Linked DNA regions of Oreochromis niloticus. The protein of the gene in region 2 purifies or fractionates together with the protein of the main gene of each other region. This does not show direct contact. Links are inferred from orthologs where the notes say so. Each region holds a gene or a part of one and is shown on either strand. Other genes may lie near its edges.

Region 1 (7,188 bases), on a different chromosome or scaffold from region 2:
ACCTTTGCAGCACACTGATTATGTCTGCAGCTTCCTAGCATCAACACGGCGTTACACTGATGTTGTAGGACTGGCCTTTAATGTCTTGAAGTGAGGTACGAACATACCCAAGACACAAATGTACCTTTCCAATTGCGAAACTTGGGAGAAAATTCATTATTAACAGATTTTTGATTCAGTGTGGCAGATAACTGTGCACAGGGAGAGATGTGAGGACAACTCTTTCTTGTCCTTTTTCCAATGTATCCTTGTGAATAACAAGGTAGTTTTTCCCACCTGAAACAGTTCGTTATGAACAAAAACAGTAACAATGTTTAAGTAGCTTTTTGTTGTTTGCTTTAACATTTGATGTCATATTAATCAGAATTTTAAAAAACTACCGGTGTAATATGATCAATTCTATGGTATTAGAAGGCAATTAATTTATCATTGGCCACTGCCACTGCTAGCTGACATTTTTTGTTTTACGCATTTCTAACATATATGAAGCCAATCTGGAAGCGGCTTCTATCTGACAGCTACCAGAAGGTGACAGTTGTGGCTGCAAAAAGAACCTCTGGTTCTACAGAGATCTATGGGGGGGGGGAAACGTTTGTTTTGACCACTAAACATTTTCGTGCAGAGTTTAGGGCTTAATCATTAACTCTGGTTTTTTGCAACCAAAAGGGTACCGGTTGAAACACACATCCAAACTAAATACAATCTTAAAGCGAACACAGGTAAAACTACAAAATGTAGCATAGCATATTACTGTTACAGTAATTGCAAAAACCTGGATTACAGGAAAAGCAGAATAAATAGCTACAACAAAGTCAAATATAACTTTACGTAAAATCGAAAAAAAAGCTTAAAAACAAAAAAAACAGGTTGTGCCTTTAAGGGCTGCTTCCTGTTCTGTAGGGAAACAACTGTCTCTGTAATGAATTACAAGTGCACCATGTGAGCACTGCAGAAGTGAAGAGGGGGAGGTGAAACAAGAAACAAGACATGATTCAAAAAATTAAAAGCAAATATGAAACTCTGGACTTTATATGAACTGATTTTTTTTTAAATATGTAAGATGTTGGAAAATATGATGAAAGACTACAACACTGAAAACTGAGAAATTGCCCAAGACATTTGGTGTCTGATCTTTAGTGCAGTGTAGTGATCATGTACATCTTTCCATCTTTCCACTAAAACCATAAAAGGTGGAGATTTCAGTTTTTAAGTAAACTCACTGGCAGGTAAAAAACTAAACCTGCTCAACTCTTTTCTGATCATTGACTTTAGGCCACACCCACATCCTAGGAGAGTGAAATGGAAAATTACTGGATTGTACCACTTTAAACCAAGAGGGGGAGGGGGCGGGTTCAGCTGCTCAATATGAGGAATGCAGCTTTCTCCTACTCACTTCTAGTCACTTTAGACAGCTAAGTTAAAAAGATTATACTGTAGCAGTGAATTCAGGGATACCATCTAGTAAGAGCTAAAAAACTTTTGTGTATTTTATAAAAAACACCAAATGTTCATTTAGCATCCACAGAAGATCAATAACGGACGCCACAAAGTTTTTTGTTATTTCAACATGCAGCATGCTGATCATATTCGCTGCTTCCTAGCACCAACATGACTACATTGACTTTGTAGAACTTTCCCTAAAAAGTCATAAAATGAGGTACGAACACATCAGAGACACAAGTGTGCATTTCCACATTCTGAACTGGGAAGCAAACTTAAAGTATTTGATTACTTGAGAGATGTAAGAACTCTTTCTTGAATCAGCAGATAGTAAAGTGACTGTTATTCATATAACTAAAGATAAAGACGACTTGTTTCATAACGTTCATCAGAAATCAAAGAATAGACACGTAAATTTTTTAAGGCTCAAAAGTTCTAAAATATATGCTGTATGCAATAAAAAAACTAAAAAAAAACTACCTGAATAACCAATGTAAGATTTATCAGCATTCATTTCAATTTACAGTTTAATGCTAGCATACATGGATGTTATGATTCCGGACTGGTTATGCGAACGACTTTTCTAACACGCACACAAAAAAAAACTAATCGAATATAACCCATTACCGAAAAAATAAAATAAAAAAATGTCTGTAAATAAAAGCTGCAAATAAAATGTTTTCACTCTGTAATATCGATAGAAAGAAAAAAACAGTTTCAATATACCATTATTCATTTAGCGAACATTGACACTGCTAGCTAACAGGGTTTTCATTATGCATGTCTGCTGTAATCCCGGTCTGTAGGGGTCACTGTTGCATTGTACGCAGCCAACTACCATTAACAGATTTTTTTTTTTCCTAATTCATATCAAATATTTCTATTCAGAACCACAAGTTCCATAAAGGATGGCATTCACTGCTATTAAATAAAAGTACAAATAAGCTGTTTGGGTAGCATGCTAACTGCAGTACCTCACTCACCGAATTTCTCTACGCTGTCCTCCGATGTTCCCGCGATTTTAAGCTTCGTTCCGTACGGTCTCCTCCTCACCCGCTGGTGTCCAAACCAACTCTTACGGACCCCCTGTGTGAAGCACCGGTGCTCTCGGGATGCGTTATCAGTGCTGCATCAAGTCCACGTTCTCAAGATGAACCGGGGAAACTAGTGAACTGTGCCACAACAACAACTGTTGTGTTCGCGGATTCAACCGAGTGCTCCGAGCACCCTCTGACTCGCGAACAGACTCCTCCTCCTTTCGCGCACGCACAAAAAAACTCCAACGGCTGACGTTGCGAGCGGGAGGGGGATTGGTCGTTAAACGACTAACGGTCGCGCAGTCCAGAGATGCAGTCTGAGTGGTTCACTCGGGGTTTTTTAAAGCATCCTGTTGTTCACCGTGCTGAAGTCGGTAGATAAAAGCAGGCAAGGTATGTATATGAATCGCTGTAGGATGTTTTAGGTCGGTTAGTACGGAGGATATGCAGGACTCAAAGAAAATGTGCTGCAGCTTGTAGTTACCCTGCAGCAGCAGGAGCAGGTTTGAGACAGACACAGAGCCAATGAGTGGTAGAGAACAGGCAGCTGAACATTGGCGTGGAGGGGGAGGGGTGTCCAGACAGAGCCCAGAGACATTAATGCTAAGGGGAAGGGGTTATAGGGAGGGGGAGGAGCCTTCTGCCAAACAACAGCCTGAAAATTTGTCTGTAACCTAACTACAGACAGTGGTGTGATTGTAGTTTTGTAAACCTACACTTACAGTTACACATGACCTGCTGCATCTGCAAGCATGGTGGTTATGCAGGGTGTTAGGCACCTTGAAGTGTTGCACTTTCTACACGGAAGTGCACACATGAGAAGAGTCCACCTGAAGGTCCCAGCGAGTAGTTATGTTATGTTATTTATTAGAAACAACAGCCTTTTTACAGTCATTTCCTTCTGAGATCACAAAGCATTAATTCAGGTCAGCCATTTTGTGCACTCACTTGTGCTTGAGGAACTTGCTGTTCCCTAAGAGGCCAGCAGGGGGTGAGTTATAGTGTTCTTATATTCTCATGTTTGTTGGTATTCCAGAAAAGGAATAGCTTAAACCTTTGCACCGCGTGTTGTCTGAGTCCCTTTGCAGCAGAATCCATGTGTTTGGGAGCAGGGGAGCTGGTATCTGTGCTCCCCAAGAGCCTGCTTGTCTCTCTCTTTCTCACACCCTTTTGCACACCAGACATGTCTGCAGTGCTGAAGAAAGCAGCCTTGAGCTTAGACAAGTCACCCCCTGTGGTCATATCAGCTAGGCTACACTGTAGCTTAGTCCTCATACACTGATATTGGGGCATAAATTGAACACACAGCAATGAAAAGCATTTAGATTTCCCTTCGCTTAGGCAGCACAAGCAGCCTGAAAATAGCCTGCATAGCTGAAGCTCTGAGTTTCGTGAATCACCGTTTAGAGTCCTCAATAAATCATAACACGCTGCTTTGATGGTAGAAGTATTTTTGCATAGTTACCCGTGCAAGTGAGGAATAAATCCTTTTAAAATTAGAGTACTTTTCAATATTTTTGTCAGGATTTTTTAAAGTTCCTAATGCTGGAAATCTCACTATAACGCCAGGTGAGCTTGTATGTTTCGGCAGAGTTATAAAGCTGTCTGTACACATGCCTCTTTATTTAAAAAAATAAATCTCAATAAGCGCATTTGTTTCTCTCTGTCTTTACACACTCATCTGTAGCCACAAATTTGCTTATTAAAACCCCACAGCAGGCTTGACTTCCTGCAGTAATAAAAAAACTACATTTGTATGCATTAGTTTGAAGTACGCACACTTTCACATAATTCTCCTTGTTGATAATTGTGAGTTCTTGAGTGGTGTTTTTTGTGTATACATGTATTTATAACAGGGTCCATTCTTCTCCAGCCTGAAAGCAGAATTTTTCCATGTTCCTATTTCCTCCAAATATACCTTTGCTAAGATTTGCAAGGTTGCAGTCTCAGCTGAGGACCTTAATTGAGCTTTCAGAAAGGCGTTGGCTTATCCAGAGGTCGTCTGTGCGTAGGTAAGGTCTCCCTTTACCGATGCTGATCCGGGTCCCTTGTCATCATATGGAGTTTTCAGTCGGGCTTTCTGCCCAGCACTTCTACAGTGTTCCTGTAAATTACCATTCTTAATGATATTATAATAGTCTTTTAAGTGTCAGTTAGCTTAACTCGAGATTTCCTAAGTAGGAGAGCAAAGTTTGAGTGGTCAGAAAATTTGTCGGTACAAGTCCATTCACCCACTCTCTTCAGGGACGCCAGGGAACGCTGGAGCCTATCCCAGCTATCATAGGGTGACAGGCGGGATGCATACTTGAACTGTATGAGACCTAATGAGTTAATTAATGCTGACCTCTGAGAGTTTCCTTGAATGTTTGGGTGTGTCAGTTAAATATATAATTAAATGACACATTTAGTTTCCCCGAAGGGCTTTATTCATCTTTTTACTTTGAAATTTAATAAACGTTTAATTTGCCTTGAGGTGTCCAAACTTCTGCATGTATTGTAGTGCTTGTTTATAGCAGAGGGAGATTTTGGGTAGGCATGAGGAACAGACACTTGTTTTCGGTATAATTTTATTGACTTTGTGAAGCTAAACTTAAACTAACAAGCTAAATAAACCTCCACAAAAACTATGTTGTCTGTTTCAAATAGAAACAATTCTGGAACGAACAAACAATTCTGGATGATCATTTTTAATATAGTTTAATACCAAAGCCCACATGAAATTTAGCTTTAACCACCATCCGCACACACTGTTTTTAACCTTAGCTGAACATGACAAGTCAGCTACAAAGCCAATGATAAAGGTACACCACAGAAACTGTAGCTCACAGTAAACCACATTCACGATCTGCCAGCCAATGTGTCTACATGGTGTGCCATGTCCTTTAGAGTCTCAGCGTAAACAAGAGAACGCCAGAAAATCATATTAAAAATTAACTAAAGCTCTTTATCAGCACAACAAAGGGTGCAAAGTTTCGAATCGAACTTTAGTCAGTCTTTAATTTGCCGTCTTCCCAATACAAAGTCCACGTAAGGTCAGTTTACGCTAATGCGTGTTGGTAATAGTCTGGTTGTCATGTGCTTCCTGCATTCAGTCAGCTCCCTTCCCTAACCATGCGGTATTTACAGTAGTGCATGTGGGAAGAGGACTGTTTCCTGCCATGTGCTTCATGTCAGAGAAGTGTAAATAGCATCCCAAACTGATTATTCCAGATGGATTTGTGAAAACAGTTTATGTAAAACACTGAATCTGTTACTGAAATGGACCTTTATAAGAGTGGAGAACATACCTCTACATTTGTGCAAAAATAAAATACAATAACACAAAGTTTCCAAACCACACCCACCGTTGAGCCGCCTTCTTTTGATCTCATAGGTAAAGTTTTTAAGTTATTTCAAGGTTGCGGTGCTGTTCTGTTGACAAAATCTGGTCACCGGTGCTGAGGCAGACATAAAAACACTGTTGGGATTGTAAATCAAAAAGTGACCTATTGTAAGTTACTTGTTTCTTTAAAATAAACACAGTTTTACTCCCATTAGTAACTAATTGTACGACCTGTTCCTCCTAAGCATTGCCTGAAAGCCATTGTCTTATAATTACTAGTTATCAATACAATATTAAAACTTACCCAGACCCACGTACCTGCACACATGCATAAAATCTTTACATGTAAACATGATTTACACCCACTTAATATTTTATCCACATTTTCACACAGAATTTCAACACGTTGAACAGTGTTAGTTCATAAGTTAACGTAGCAAAATATTTTGATCACTATATAAAAATAAGGTTTGAAACTGAAGCTAGAGACTAGTATTAGCAAAAATGTCCAGATGTTGTTGGTCTAGTGACATCTAGAGGAAGGGTTTACATTTTATATACATAAAATTGATTTTCATGCTTTCCAGCAGTAGAAGAAGAAAAAAAAAACATCTCCTTGCCTGTATTGTCGCTAAAATCGTAAAGTTTTCTATGAAGACCTTGAGGTAGCAATACAGGAAGCTGAGTCATGTGAAAAAGGGCGTCCCTCCTTGGATAACAAGCCTGCTCATTTACAGCCATGGTTCCAGATACTTTGTGTTTAAATGTTTAGCCTGAAGATGAAACAAGCTTTATTAATTGTTTAAAAATAATGAAAAAAATGTTCTTGGGTACATCAGTCTGTTTAGTAAATTTCATCCTAATTGCTGGTAGAAAAATAAAAACAACAGGACTGTGGCAAAAAACAATCACCATGATTTACTAATTAATATCTGCTAAGACTGGTTGTATAGATGTAACCCTGTGCATGTGTATAGACATAAACAAATATGAAACATTACAGTTTTACTGCTTTTAAGTCAGTAATGGGTCATCGCGGTCTCTGTGTCTTTTCTCATTGCTAGACCTGATTATCCTGTTCTTCCTGCTCTTGGGAATTATTTCTCCGTCATTGTCATCTTTTGTCTAGCATGCTTATGAGTTAGCATTTCTTAAACTAAAAAGTTCAGAAAACATATGGTACTATTGTAAACAATGCTAGGACCTTTCCAATAATGTTCCAGCGTAGTAGGTGGCATTTTCGCAGCTTATCGCTGCTTAATACCTGCCATAAAATGAAAGAACAACAAAAAGACAGACAGTAACTAGCTAGCAAATAGACACCAAACACAGAGGCTCTAAAACAGTCACAGTAAATCAAACAGGCTCATCATCACTCTTTCCTTAAAC
Region 2 (7,183 bases):
TGTCCTAGAATGGCTCTCTTTCTAGTTATAACATAAAAAATTAGTGACAAGCTATGAAGGAATTTGTTTTGGTTAATCTGGATTAAATCCAGCAAGAGAGAGTGTTTTGCTTTTCTCAGAGGCTTTATCAGTCACGTCCACCAATCCATTTGTTAGATGTCAGGAAAAACTGAACCAGCTAACAGCTATCAATCAGCAAAATGAAAATAATTTCTCCTCAAACAGACAGATATAACAGATCAACACAGCAATGCTTTGCGTTGCTCTCACCACTGGATCTTTGACTGGAGTTATAGGCTTCTTCGGAAGAACCACTGAAAATGAAGGATGGAAGACAAACAAATCATTAATCAGGCACAATCACTCCATTACATCCGTGCATCTTCATAACTAAACAGCCCGACTTACAACAGCCAACAGCAATAACGTCATCGTCGTCGTCATCATCGTCTATCTCGATGACTTCAGAGGACAACACAGCTCCGCCTCCCTCGTCCTCCGAGCTGCTCTCTCGGTAGACGAGGCCGTTCTTTCGGTAAGTTGCCTTCACCAGTTTCTCACACTCCAGTACGGACCTGAGGAAGAGGGGGGAGGAAAGAAGTGAGCGAGAAGTGTAGAAGAATTAGTTTGTACACCAATAAAGACACAGCGTTTGATCAAAATGAAAGAAATATCTTAATTCCCGCTCACTGGTTGGCATCACGGAGAAGCTTCTCTGTCCTAGCCTCCTCCTCCTCCTTCTGCTCCACCCATTCCTTCAGTTCTGACAACTGAGCCTTTTTCTTCTGCACAATCTCGCTCTTCTCCACAGCTTCTTCAATCCATTTCTTCAGCTCGTCCAAAGAAACACCCAGCTCTTCCTCCAGACTGGAGTCCCAGCCGTCCACCTCCATTCTGGGAAAGGAGCACAGAAACATCTCAGTGTGTATTTATTGCTCCTTCTTCCAAAGATTCCTTCACATTTGCCCGTTAACGTTCTCTCGCACACGACGTAGGATTTTTCAAGACTAATATTGATATTTGGTGATAAAAAGTAGAATATTCTGATATTTCAGCTGATATGTTGCTTTTTTCTTTCAGACACGTGACACATAACAAATACTGAGTAAATTCGCTTATGTGTAGTTAATCATTTACTTCTTTGTTATCTGCCCAACTGTGCTCAAATAAGCTGGATATTATTTTTGCCCTGTGACAGCACATGTGATGTGCAACCTTTGATAGGCAAGCTGAAGTATACTGGCCGAAAAGCGAATCAGGATCTGTAATTTGGCACAGACAAATCAAAAACTGTCTGACTATCTGCAAGGTAAATTAAAAACAAATAAATAAAATCAGATAACAATTAAAAGCTATCATGTAAATTCCCATATTTGAGTACCTACTAATAAAAAAACAATTTCTGAACGGTACATAGTTGTATTTCGCAATAATTCAAATTAAAACATGTAGAGTACTTCTTAATGTGAAATTCTTGGTCAAAATAAATTAGGAAAAATGTTATTTTCATTCAAGTTTCATGCTGGGCTAAGCAAATATGACGTTGTGCAACAAAAATGGAGTTTCCACATGTAACTACTACATTACTGAGTTTGTAATGCGCTGTTTTTTATGATCACCCCTATAAAGTACCACATTTATCACATCAACACCAGCCACACACACATAAACAGTAACCACCAGTGCATCTCTGATCCTCCGTCTCTATCAGCAGTCGCCACACGTCGTGGCGAAGCACTCTGGTGCTCTTTGAGGCAAGTCCAGGTGTGCCTGGGAAATTTGTGTCAACCAAACAGTAATACTGTAACTGCACAGAAAGTCATGAATGAAATTTAAATTCACTAAACACCAAGGGCCCTGACTGACACCTTAAACTTGATATTGAAGAGGATAACACGTCTGAGGAGGTGAAACTGATCATCCTCTTGTGTGGAGAAAACCACATACACACAAACTGTCAAGAGGAACTACTCCAACAGTCAACACGGTACCAAGGAAGTTAAAGAGACACCTGGAAACCTGAGATCCTTCTGAGAGAAACTTTGCCTACTGTAAAGTGTTGGCTCTGACTCAGACTGAGCAGGAAGGTTTGTTGGATTGTGAGGAAGTGTCTGATAAGGATACACATGTAAGCTATAAGCTAATGGAGCTGACATCACAGCCAAAGCACATAACTCACAACTCCAGGTAACATAAATGCTGTTTTCTGCAGATATGAGCTGGTGTGCATGCTTGTGCAGTGCATGTTTGCATCATTCGCTTCACCTTAGCATACAGAAACCTACATGTTCCTCTGTGGCAAAGTCAGAACAATTAAAAACATCAGTGAGAAGCAAATTTTTAAACTGATCTGACGCTGCAGTTGATGCTGGGCATGCTCACATGAGTTTAAAATGCGACTACAACATGTCACGGCTGGCTTTGTTTATATGCTACTTCAAACTAGAAACTGCAGTCCGGATAAAGGCAGCAAAGACAGAAGCAGTTTGTAGTAATAACACACGTAATTATTTTAAAGTTAAATGTTTACTCGCCAGTTTAAATGATTATACAGCAGCTGCATAAGTGAATGCACTAAGCTGCTACTGGATAGCATGCAAGGAGATGCACTGAATTACAAATCCACTTAAATGATTTCGATTATTTCCAGTTTTACCCTAGCCTTGCTGCTGACCGTCATAACTGCATTTACGTTTTATTCAGAGGTGCAGAGGAGCTGAGAGAAGCCACACAGGAGCAGGACTCAAGGTAGCGCAGGCTAGCTCGTTAGCCTAGCCTAGCATAGAAAATGGCTCATCTGCTGAATAAGTGAAGACTGCGACTGGAAAAACCAACAAATTTGCGTAACGTGAAGCTGCAGTCAAAGAAACGCCTGCACCTACGTGTAAAATTTCACCCAGAAACAGGACTCACCCCTCAACGGTTTCCATCCTCTTGGCTCGCAAATATTTGGCTAACTAGCCAATGCTACCGGCTAGCTACAATGGGGAGTGCATGCTTTGTTTGTCAGGGAAACCGAGGTAGGCGGTGTTAGCTCGCTTGATACGTTCAGGTCATACCCGCCCACACGGGTTACCCAGGTTTCAGAAAAGTGCAGTCCGGCACACGGGACGCAGAGAGATGTCCCTCCTCCAAGATCCCATAAAAAAATAAAGGATTTATTTAGGGCAACAGTTATATTTTCAATCGCTGCCTGATTTTTGTGTTTCTCGTTACATTAAAAAGACATTACCATCATGAATATATACTGAATAGGGCACAAAATTTACCAGAAACTACGAAAATGAAGGGTCACTGAGTTGAAATTTCCTGGGGAGGAGCACAAAACTCCCAGAGGCCTTCTTTTCATCATGATAAAAAAATCTGCTCCAAAAGTCCTCAAACAAACAAACAAAATTCAAGCCATTGTAACGTTTTTATTTAAAGAATAAAATTGCATCATCGTTTTAGTATAAGTGCAGTCAAGCTTTACAAACACCGCATGTGTGATTCAACTAACTGTGTGAATGTGCACAGAAATTGCTTTAAACAATGATCTCATGGAGTGTTTCCATGCAGGAAATGTTTTCATTACATCAGGCCACTTTATTAGGTACACCGGTTAGACTGCTAATTAACTCAGATATCCCACAATAATATGGTCAAGATGCGGAAGTTCAAACTGAGCATCAAATGGAGTAGAAAGGTCACAACATGAACAGTGTAGGCTGCTGCTGGTGGTGTAAAGGGGTGGGGGATATTTTCTTGGCACACTTTGTGCCCCTTAGTATTAACGGAGCATAGTTTAAATACCACAGCCTACCTGGGTCTTGCCGGTTCCTTTGTGACTGCAGTATACCCAATTATCCAATGGCTGTTTCCAGCAGGATAACACACCATATCACAAAGTTGACAGTGAGTTCACTGAACTCAAATGACCTCCACAGTCAACAGATCTCAGTCCAGTAGAGATGTGATGAAATGGGAGATTTGCCTCATTGATTTGCAGTAAACAAATCTGAATCCGCAGCAACTGTGTGATGCTATCACATCAATATGGCCAAAAAACTCAGAGGAATGTTTCCAGCACCTTGTTGAATCTATGCCATGAAAAATTAAGGTAGGTCTGAAGACAAAAGAGGTTCCAACCCAACCCAGTAGTAGCAACGTGTACCTAATAAGGTGTCTGGTGAGTGCAAAGCAATTATTTAATTAACTTTGGACCGTTAGAATGAGTTAGTCTCTCCTGAAGGATCACTGGGTGTGAATTCCTGCATTTGAAAGAGTGGCTGGAAGCGGCAAAGCATCACTGCAACACAAACCCAACGAAAGGAAACAAACAATAAACTTGTGAAAAATATTAAAAACCTAGAATTTTAAAGATTGGCTTTAACAGATTGTGAAGTCAGTTTGTGAAATACATGCAGAGGGCTATGTGAGCTGAATATTCACATCATATTTATTATAAAAACCACTGTGCACAAAGAGAAGCTCTTCAGTTTTTCTTCCACATAGACACCATTCATCGACTTACTGACACCTGCTACAAGCTAACTTACTTACACAATTTGTTCGATAATAAGTCGCTTGCACGAGAGTTTGCGCAAATAGCTCAAAAACATCGTGTGGCAGAGTTTGGGGAATGAACTGAACATCTGTTTTGCATTGAGAACATCTGCGCTCTATTATCGTGGAAGGGAGGGGATTTGCTTTTGTTGAAATTAAGCCGCTTTTCACAGTGTACTTTCTGGTACAATGAAAAGATTCCACTTCATTCTTAAGAGTCACCCGAGACTTATTGAACTGTTTTCCCCCCTCATAATTTGTCCTAGCATTTAAAAGCTATGAGATATATTACAGAAACTTGTGGGGCATTAATGCACATTTCAACAAATCACATTATGAAACATGCTCTACATTTTAGATGGACGCTTACATGATTAGAAGGTGCAGATGCTGTTGGCATAACTTTTTCCTGCTGCAGTAGGGTAGAAGCTTTATAAAAGTTCAAAGAGGGTCTCAAACCGCTCAGCCCCACTCACTCATTCACAAAAAATGCCTGAAAATATTCTGTGGCGTGTAGGATTTTATTTCTGTTATCCCATCTGTACAGCTTGAACCGGTCTCTGGTCTCCATCACTCCTCCATTTGCTCCTCCTGGTATGTCGTTACAGAGATTGCGCTGTAAGGGTCCAGCACCATCTGAGCACAGCGGATGATGGTGACCAACAAGAAAAAGCAGAGGAGGAAGAAGAAGAAGAGGGCAAACCCGAGATCTACATCCACATCCAGCCTGGCCACAGGGAGGGCTGGAGGGTCCATGTTGAAATATCCAAATAAATCCCAAGTTTATCTGCTTCACAGTTCTCTTCTCATCTGTTGGCTTCGATAAAAGTGCGTCCTTCAGTTCGTCACGTATCATCCAACTCTTCTTCTGTTTTGGCTGTTTTTCCTCTCTGCGCTGACACCTAACATCCTCGTCCCGACGATAAGATTTACTGATGGACACACGGAGCTCCATTTGGCTACCGTGTCCTCTATGCATAGTTAATAAGGAGTTTGGTAACAATCAGGCCGTTCCTGAGATTAGAACACCCAGGCATCTCTTTAGGACATGAGGCCTTTACAGGAGATTACACCTGAGTAGGATCTCAGTTCTCAGTGCAAGGTGTAGATACATGACAACAAGGAAGAAATTGTGGCTGTACACAGTTTTTGTTTTTTTTTTCCTTTTAATTTTGCTCAAGTCAAGTGAGCAGATTGAGATCCTCCAATCTGCTGTGCCACGTGCCCCTGCACAGCCACATGAAGTTTGGGCCACTTTATGGCCTGAAAGAGGCAGAAAGATGAGAGCACAAGATGGTCAAGATGCAGAAAAGGGAGGGGAAAAAAGGGTTGAGGAGGAGAAAGAGGATATGATGCCTTAGTGGCAATCCACTTGAGAGGGTTTGGAATTTGATCCTGACCAAAAAAAAATGCAGATTGCTTGTATTCTGATGCCACTAACAGACACACAAACACACAACGAGTAAAGTGACTCTTTGTAAATAACAGCGAATCCAACTAAAAAGTCAGGCGAGGAGCCGAATTTGTTGAAACGATACTGGAAAAACAAGATTTACAGCACATGCTGTCACTCAAGTGCAACCCAAAGACTGAAGAGGTGACACAGTAAACCTCTCTTAGAAGAGTTGTAGCATTACTACCATCCGTTTTCACCCCCAGCCTGTGAAAGAGAGGAGGGAAGGACGAAGGTGGAACCTGATCCCAGGAGATACCCGCAGATCTCTCTTCACTCATATACAGAAAGGCGAAAGAAAACGGATACAATCCGGGCAAATGTGGTTTTTGTTTTTTTTCTGCAAATAAGAACACAAAACTGTTTAAAGGAAGCTCAAGCAAGGATGGATGTAACTAAAACAAGGACCAATGCCATAAACAATGGAAATACAGTCACCCCCAGAAATATTTGGGTAGTGACATAGTAATTGTACTTTTGCCTCTGTGCAGTATTGCGGTACATTTTAAATCAAGTGATGTACTTGCAGACATCAAAAATGAAATGGCATTACATTAAATATTTTGGAATTACAGTCATTTTTATACACAGTCCCCCATTTTCAGAGGCTCGAAAGTAATTGGATAACTGACTGATACGCAGTTTCATGACCAGGTGAGGCCTGTTTCCATGACAAATGAAGCAGATAGAAAGATCAAAGTGATGAACTTGCATTTGGTTGCTTTTTACAATAACACTCAATATGAGGTTTAAAGAAATAGAAAATGGTTCTTATATGTCACCTTTCTACTCGAGCACTATTCATAAAAGCACTTTTTCCCTACCTAAGTAGGTGCTTTCTAGCTAACATTCACACTCCAGTGCACCCACTGTACAGCAAGCTGGGTTTCAGTATCTTGCTCAGGAATACTGTGGCATGCACACCTGGATTGAACCACCAACCAACCTCAGGCCGACTAATAAATGACCTCCTCTACCTTCTGAGCAACAGACACTACTAGATGTGGGTGCAAATGAAGGATAACGAGAGGCTGAAAACCCCAAATAAACCCACCAGAGAGACAGCAAAAACTTTAGGAGTGGCCAAATCAGCATCATCTGGTTAAAAAGAAGCAATGCACTCACCAGCTCAGCAACACCAAAAGGCCTGAAAGACACAGCAGGCAACTGAAGTACATGACGACA
Region 3 (7,450 bases), on a different chromosome or scaffold from region 2:
TGTTGATTACGACACAGTCTAATGTTTGCGTTTTAGGAGCGTCATTAGCACTGCAGGACTTCTCAGGCGAAGCCGTTGTGTCTTTGCAGTGATGCTTATCTTTTGCTGAAACGCAGGGAGAGGTTGAAGCAGATGATGCAAGGGGCTTTAAAGGAGATGACGTGTTGTCCTCAGTCAGATCTATAATCATGTTCTCATCTGAAGTTGCGGCGCGTCTGCGGCTTATGAAGCCATCAAGTGGCCCACGACCGTTAACCAAAGGTGGGCCACTGCGCACAGAAAGAGGAGAGGATGCATTCTCATTCTCCCTGTCTGAGACTTCAGGTTCAGGGCAGGAATGGGCACAGGGGCGCTTAGGTGGCTGGTTCTCTTTAGGTTCAGGGTTCAAGCGCTTGAAAGGAAGACGGGCTGGAGACAGAAGAAAATACAGATCATTTGGAGCTGCACCACTGTGTATGATGCAAGACACAATTTTGATTCAATATATTGATGAGGGAAAAAGTAATACATAAAGTCTAGAGGTAAGTAACAGGCACTGTTAGTGCAAAGTATAATTTTACAGTACAGAAATTATGAAACATTTAATCTGCATTGTCTCATTTCTCATTGTCAAGGGTAATATGTTTCACAAAATGTAGAAGTAAAAATTAAACATTGCATTTACCTTGTACAAGTTTCTTGCTGGCATTGTTACTTGACTTACAATCCATGCCTGAAAAATGAAAACAGACACATTAAAAGATAATTAAAGTAAAATGTCACTTCATGATATTAATTTGTTTTAAATAACCCGCCAGTGAAAGTGCTCAACAAGAAGGAAAAAAAAATTATATAATAAGATTTTATAAATATTAATACTTACTTCAGCAATACTTTATCAATTCTTTATTTATTTCTGATAAATCTTTAAGTAGAGAAAGGGAATTTCTGTGGAAACAGTTTAGGAGCACTGTTTTGTGATGTAAAAACATGTCACCAATGGCAAAAGTAATTAATAAGCTTCGAGACAAGTGACTGTAATTAGTTGGAATATTTGAAACATCTGTGCCTTTTAGAAGCAAATAAATTGCTTTCTAAGCTCCAATTCAAATCAGTTGTATTGATACAGTGCCAATTCACAACAGTCACATCAAGGCACTTGAAATGGTTTTGATGGACTGAAAAAAAAATACTGAACAGGTTTTAAACTTCCAAGTATCATTATCTATCTTGGAGCCTATCCCAGCTGTCTTTGGAAAATGACTGCTATTGCAAGTAATACTTAAAACACAGCGTTTAACGTTTTTTCGTATGTACACACAATAAAACAGTTACACTCATGCTGGTAACCTGTTGAGGCCTACTTCCCCCTCCCCACTCCCAGCAGAGTGATCAGACTTTAGGAGAAGTGGACCCGTTATCAGACCGATATTGGCATTCATCAATAAAATCTTTAACAATAGCCATACCCACACAAAAAATTATATTTATCCATTTAAAAAACAAAACACTGGCAAACCCACTAAACCGCTTTTTAGTGTTAAGACTCTGCTTGTAGTAAAATAACATTTACTGACTAGTGTCATAACAACAGTCGGAAAAACAATACTAATCGATTGGCATTAAATGTATTTATCTGAGAGTAAAAGTAGCGCTTGAATGTGCTGTATTAACGGCACAATACGCTGCAACAACAACATTACACCGAGTATAGTAGCTATGTTTGGCTGGCTCTCCCGCCAACCGGCGTATGCATCGGTGCAACAAGGCCCGGTAGAGTCCACCGGGCAAGCGCCTCAGTTGGGTCTGTCAAGTTAAGTTTTGCCTGCCGAAGCACTGAGCTGAAACCTCCAAATAACAACCGAGGATGGTCGTAACAACACGACACAGTTACAGCAGCCTCAAAACGTCAATGTGTGTAAAGCTGAAGGGAAGGGAGCAGCTTTGACGCGTTAACTGTGACCCCGGCTTTCATGTTTGCTGCTAAGCATCTAGCCTAGCAGCTTTAGCTAAGCACCTGAGGCAGAGCTTTGAGCTGCAAAGTAGAGCAAAAAAATACAACTGTCATTCGGTTAAATGCCTTTAATTGCCAGTTAGAGTTGGATGGATACAAATACCGACCAACCGAAGCCTAGCTTAACTAATTTAAACGTTATCTGACTCTAAAGAATTTCGGATTGGCGTTAAGTGACATTAGAACAGCAAAGTAGCAGGTTAGCTGCACATAGCAGACTTGAATGATTCAAGACAATAGTGTATATTTTTTTTAAAACAATCCGTGTGTGTCTCGTGCCATTGGCATTACCTAACATTAAATAGCCTCGCGAGATAAAACTATTTTTAGCGTTGGATAACTTTATAGTACGCAAATGACAGTTTTGTCAGTTTGTCAACTCTGTGCGTAGTTAAGACAAAACTGTACTTTGTCTATGATATACATGTAAACGTATGTGTGCTGTAATGGCATTCAGGGCCGTAGCATTACCTCTTCTACGAGGAGTCGATGCTGCCAAATGTCCTTCCACCGATGGGTTTTCAGCCGCCAACATCCCAACCACTAACCCGGGGCTTCTGTCGTTAGCTGTGTTCTCCGACAAAGCGACTTCAAAATACCCTCAAGGTTCACGTTAACACCCGAAAATACACCGCGGTAGCAAACCAATATTGTGCTGCTATTCAAACGACATGTATATCTAATTTATTTCACATAAAACATAACGCATACTCCTTCCTACAGCTCCTACATGCTCCCCCGGTTTACCCTGCTGCCTGCCTCGCGCTCCTGAGTCGGAATTGGCGGGAGCCTGTTACTTCCATCAATGCTCCTCACTGATTGGTCCAAAAGAAGTTACCGGCTGCCAAGGGGCTGTTTGATTTGTACTACTGCGCTGCACGTTTATGCTACCGTTCACGTTTTATAAAGTTACGAGTTCTTGGTAGAAAGAGAGTTCTAGACACTGTCTGATAGTATTTAAGATGTGAACTGTAACAATAAAAGTCTATTCTCTCATGTCATTCAGTGGTCTAAAACCAATTTAACTTTATTATGCCGACACTGGCCACTCCATAGTGGACACCTGATGCTATGAACCAAAGAACGCCCAGTGTAGCTGATGATTCGGGCTCTGTGATTGGCCGAAGAGTTTGACTTTCTGAAGTCATGGTTGCCATGTTGTGTGAAATAAAAGAATGGGCCGGTATAAACTCCCGACTATCCCAGTGTCCCGGACCAGCAGTTTTTTTGTGTCAAGAAAGCTGCTAAATGTTTATGAATATGTTAATGAGGTTTTCATTTCTCTACTTTAAGATTAAAAAGGCCTCTCCTATACTGTTTACAGAGAGAGGACTGGGTGGAAACGATGTCATGTTGAAGTCACGCGTTTTCCGTTTACCGCTCGAATGGCTGCTGGGACGTGTAGTTCTACTGCTCCCCTGTACTTGCCGAATATAAACAGTTTTGAACTACAAGTGCTGAACGGGTAGCGCAGTCGCAGATGATGGGTCGAAAAAGCGCATGCGATTCTTAAATGATTCCAGGACCCCACCGGTGTCGTCGACCGAACCGCGAGGAAATTCTGTTACCCCGGTAAAACCGACGTGTCTTTGCTGTTCTTTTGTTGTGCTTTTTCACGCCTTTTCGACTGCAGACCATTGCTATTCAAACAAAGCAGCAGCGTGAGATAAAGAGTCACTGAGCTTATATCTGCTACTGTACGACAACTAACTGCTTAGAAACACGCCTTAGCTGCTATCAACTCTAAAATGTCTCATGTAAAGCAAACAGTTAATAACTTCACGTTGGTATTGGTAAAACATGAACGTGTTCCTGTTGGCGTATTGAAACTGATATACAATTTGAGCAAAGTTGAAATTTGCAGTTAGAACTAATTAGAGGGTTTACTGCTCCTGCAAGTGGTCGAAGGTTAACGTGCATTTGTAGTATGATAATCAAGGTTAGCACTGGCAGAAAAATTAATGGCAGTTAAATATAAAATTTAAAAATGTGTGGAGATTTACGTCTCTTTTTTGTATATTCCTCTTTTTCAGGGAAGACGTGGAATTTCAAAATGGCAGGTTTGTCACTATCTGTCTATCTAAAGAAGGGGTGGGCTGCAAAGTACTTGGAATACAAATTTTACACCCTGCAAAAACCTTCCAGTGGGCCACATTGGACCCCTGTAGCAGGCCAGTTTTGGCCTCCAAGCCTCATGTTTGAAATCTTCTTATTTAAAGTACAACTCCACTATCCCTCAGTTTCTCTCTCTCCCTCCCTGCACTGTATTCAGATATATTCAAATAAAAAGTATTACCATGACAGTACTCTGATGATGTAATCTTGCTTCTTGTTTCAGAGCGGGCCAATAACTTTCCACCCCTGCCCAAGTTTGTAAAAATAAAGCCATGTTTTTACCAGAACATTGAAGAGGAAATACCTGGGCCCCACCAGCTGCTGGTGCACAGAGTCTATATCCTCTGGATGAGTAAGTGTCTTCAGTTTCTTCAGAACAGGAAGCACATGGATTCCTTCCATTTTTGCAGAGAAAGTACTGATTTCCCTTTCTTTTTTTCACGCATGCTCATCTCTCCTCTTTGCAGTGTATTCAGGAACACTGAGCGTAAATTTGATCGGATGTATTGCTTGGTGGGCCGGGGGTGGAGGTGCCACAAACTTTGGCTTTGCCCTGCTTTGGCTCATCCTCTTCTGCCCCTGTAGTTACACCTGCTGGTTCCGACCACTCTACAAAGCTTTCAGGTCAGTTATCATTTAGTAATTGCCACAAATTTATGAGCAGCTTCTGGTTACACAGATGCATAAATTACAACTTCAGCATAACATCAGATGTACATTAAAAAGTTCTTATAAATGGAAAAAAGAACTCAGATGATGCATTATCAAAGTCAAATGTTTACCCAGGGAGTAAAACTGGCAGAGAGAAAAACGAAAGGTTTTCAAGCATGTTCCAAAGAAGAAGGTTATAATGAGCAAAGGCTCTACGGCAAAAACTGTTTTGTTTTGTTTTCGAGTCTGGAATGCTTAAAAAGCAGCAATAGACATAATATAGATCAAGGGAAAATAAAAAGTGATCTGTATCTAGCTTCATTATTCCAGAGCTATGCCAAAAGGTGCAGGTTTTACTGGTTCCACTTTTACTCTTCACTTTTCTTTTTTTTTTAAAGAACACCCCTGTTATCTTTCCAGGGCTGCAGTTCCAGTTAATTGTTAGCGGCTGCATGAATTCTTAAACCCAATAGTTTTCAGCATTGTACACAAATAATTAAATTAAGTAATTCAGGCCCATGTCACAGAGGCCTGGTTTGCTAACCCAGTTAAAAAAACCAACCATTAACCCAGTTAACAAAACTGGTGAGGGGAGAAAAAACAATCGCACCCATGGATTATGCAGCATTATATGCTGTTATTTGTATTTCCTTTGCTGTGGGCAATACTAAAAGTATTGTAAACAATAGGGTCATTATATATGAGTTTTAAGATCAACTGAAGGTTTTTCAGGGTGCTTTTAGAACAACCCGATAATAATGAATTACAGTACTCGAGCCTACAAATAAAGATGCATGAACTACTTTTTCACCATGACTCTTAGACATGACAATTCTAATTTTAGACATATTGCGCAAATGCAAGAAAGCAGTGCGGCATATTTGGTAAATATGCGCATTGAAGCACATATCCTGGTCAAAAATGACTCCAGGATTCCTTAGCCAAGGTAATGCCATTCAGAGTAAGTATCTGGTTAAACACTGTGTTTCTAAGCTTTTTAAAGTAAAATAAACTTGGTTTTATCTTAATTTAGAAGCATTAAATTAGAAGACATCTAGGCTTTTTATGTCTCTTAAAAAAGTCATAGCTTTGAATCAGTTAGATGTTGAGTGAGCTTAAGAGAGCTGCTTGCACCACGTGTCAAGAAAAATGGTCTAAAAGTATTTCCTGAAGATTATATATCTCATTCAAAGCTCTCAGTTTCAAGGGTTTACGTACTACTTATATCTGCATGTGTAATTTTGTGTCAGTATGCTCAGGAAAGATGAGGAAGATTATGATCGTATCCACCAGGGACATTTATGTTTTTGTTAGCATTTGCGTGCATGCATGTATGTCACTCTCTCTGTAAACATGATGGCTTAAAAAGTTTATCATAAATTATGGTAAAACTTTCTAAGCGTGTGGAGTGGCGTCATATCAATAATCCATTAAAATTTTACTTCCCTCCGCCAAGGTCTTTAAGGTCAGCTTAAGGATTTATTGGTTGAAAATTGACCAAAAGCCTTTTAACTTAGAAACTAGTGTGGGGTGTGTTGTCAACATATAGAACGTACTTTATAAAGATTTATAATATCATGTTACAGTTAATCTCTGACCTTTCCTTCAAGGTAATAGATTCATCTGAAGCTCAAAGTAATAATAAGGCTATATAGAGATATTTAAAATGACAATCGGTTTTCAGACTGACCAGAACATCTTGGCATGGGATACTTTTTGTGTATATTTGATTAATTTTATTATGAATTTGATCTGTACATTACAGTAAGAGGTTATAACCTTTAAATGCAGAACAATTTGAATATAAAGGACATGTTCCTGAATAAGTTATTTTGTTTTTTGGGGTGGAGGAAACAAACTTAACTTGTGATGAAAAAACTTTTTCAATTGGTACTTATTACCAAATAGTTTTAAAAAAAAAAACTAAACAGTGAAATGAATGCTTCATGTGTACTATATCCACATGAATTCAAGGTTATCGGATTACAACATCCATAGCTTGAAGCTTCTAGTTGAGCTTTACAGCTATCTCAATTAGGGATGGACCGGTCCGATACTGAGCTAAATTACTGGATCGGATATCGGAGAGAAATAAAAAATGTAATCCGATCCATTAAATATCACAAAAGCACCTCAAAAAACTCCAGCTCATCACTTTAGCACGTCGGAGCAGTATGCGTCACGTGATAGAGCAGCTGGGGCGTGCGAGACCTCTCGGCGGTCTGGTTGAGCATTTGGAGCCTCGCTACAAAACCGGAATTTCATCTCCGAGAAAGCTATCCCAGAGAAGTAAAGCAAGTGTGTAATTTCATCTCTGAATGTTTGTAAAGCATTCCCACATTAAGCTTAAAAACCCATATATGGAGGGACTACCTCTTCTTCTCTCCCTCCCTCTCCTGCTGCTACTTCAATCATGAAACTGATCAATGATCAGCTGATCGGCTTTTCTGTCGCGAGTCCCGTCTCTCTTGTTTGTTTATCGCCCACTTTGCGCCAGAAACAGGAAACTAGCGGATAAACAACAGCAGCACATTTAAGCTTGATAAGCTGTTGATAGAATTTATTTAATATTACTTTCTACACCAGGATCCTTTTCTACGCAGCTGACGGCTGGTAACTGTCCAGGGGCGGATCTAGTAAAGTTTAGCCAGAGGGGCCGATAGGGCATTAACAGGGAAAAGGGGGCACAAA

Evidence for each region.
Region 1: the proteins of setdb1b (region 2) and atf7ip purify together in Homo sapiens (affinity purification with mass spectrometry; 6 studies listed by BioGRID and IntAct, counting the BioPlex papers as one, with this or other methods). This does not show direct contact. The link is inferred for Oreochromis niloticus from reciprocal best matches to the Homo sapiens genes SETDB1 and ATF7IP.
Region 3: the proteins of setdb1b (region 2) and chaf1a purify together in Homo sapiens (affinity purification with western blotting; 3 studies listed by BioGRID and IntAct, with this or other methods). This does not show direct contact. The link is inferred for Oreochromis niloticus from reciprocal best matches to the Homo sapiens genes SETDB1 and CHAF1A.

Annotation. Positions count from the first base shown.
Region 1 is NC_031971.2:24,258,227-24,265,414, forward strand, and holds the start of atf7ip (activating transcription factor 7-interacting protein 1), read right to left. Parts: upstream 3,019-7,188; 5' UTR 2,424-3,018; exon of another isoform or gene 2,415-2,423; intron 1-2,414. UniProt on the Homo sapiens protein: Recruiter that couples transcriptional factors to general transcription apparatus and thereby modulates transcription regulation and chromatin formation. Can both act as an activator or a repressor depending on the context.
Region 2 is NC_031976.2:21,683,013-21,690,195, reverse strand, and holds the start of setdb1b (histone-lysine N-methyltransferase SETDB1-B), read right to left. Parts: upstream 3,072-7,183; 5' UTR 2,931-3,071; coding exon 2,914-2,930; intron 2,902-2,913; exon of another isoform or gene 2,883-2,901; intron 895-2,882; coding exon 691-894; intron 576-690; coding exon 409-575; intron 315-408; coding exon 271-314; intron 1-270. UniProt on the Homo sapiens protein: Histone methyltransferase that specifically trimethylates 'Lys-9' of histone H3. H3 'Lys-9' trimethylation represents a specific tag for epigenetic transcriptional repression by recruiting HP1 (CBX1, CBX3 and/or CBX5) proteins to methylated histones.
Region 3 is NC_031986.2:39,743,145-39,750,594, forward strand, and holds the start of chaf1a (chromatin assembly factor 1 subunit A), read right to left. Parts: upstream 3,026-7,450; 5' UTR 2,529-3,025; coding exon 2,465-2,528; intron 713-2,464; coding exon 665-712; intron 409-664; coding exon 1-408. Other genes in the region: scamp4 (secretory carrier-associated membrane protein 4), read left to right, coding at 4,047-4,053, 4,332-4,460, 4,576-4,732. UniProt on the Homo sapiens protein: Acts as a component of the histone chaperone complex chromatin assembly factor 1 (CAF-1), which assembles histone octamers onto DNA during replication and repair.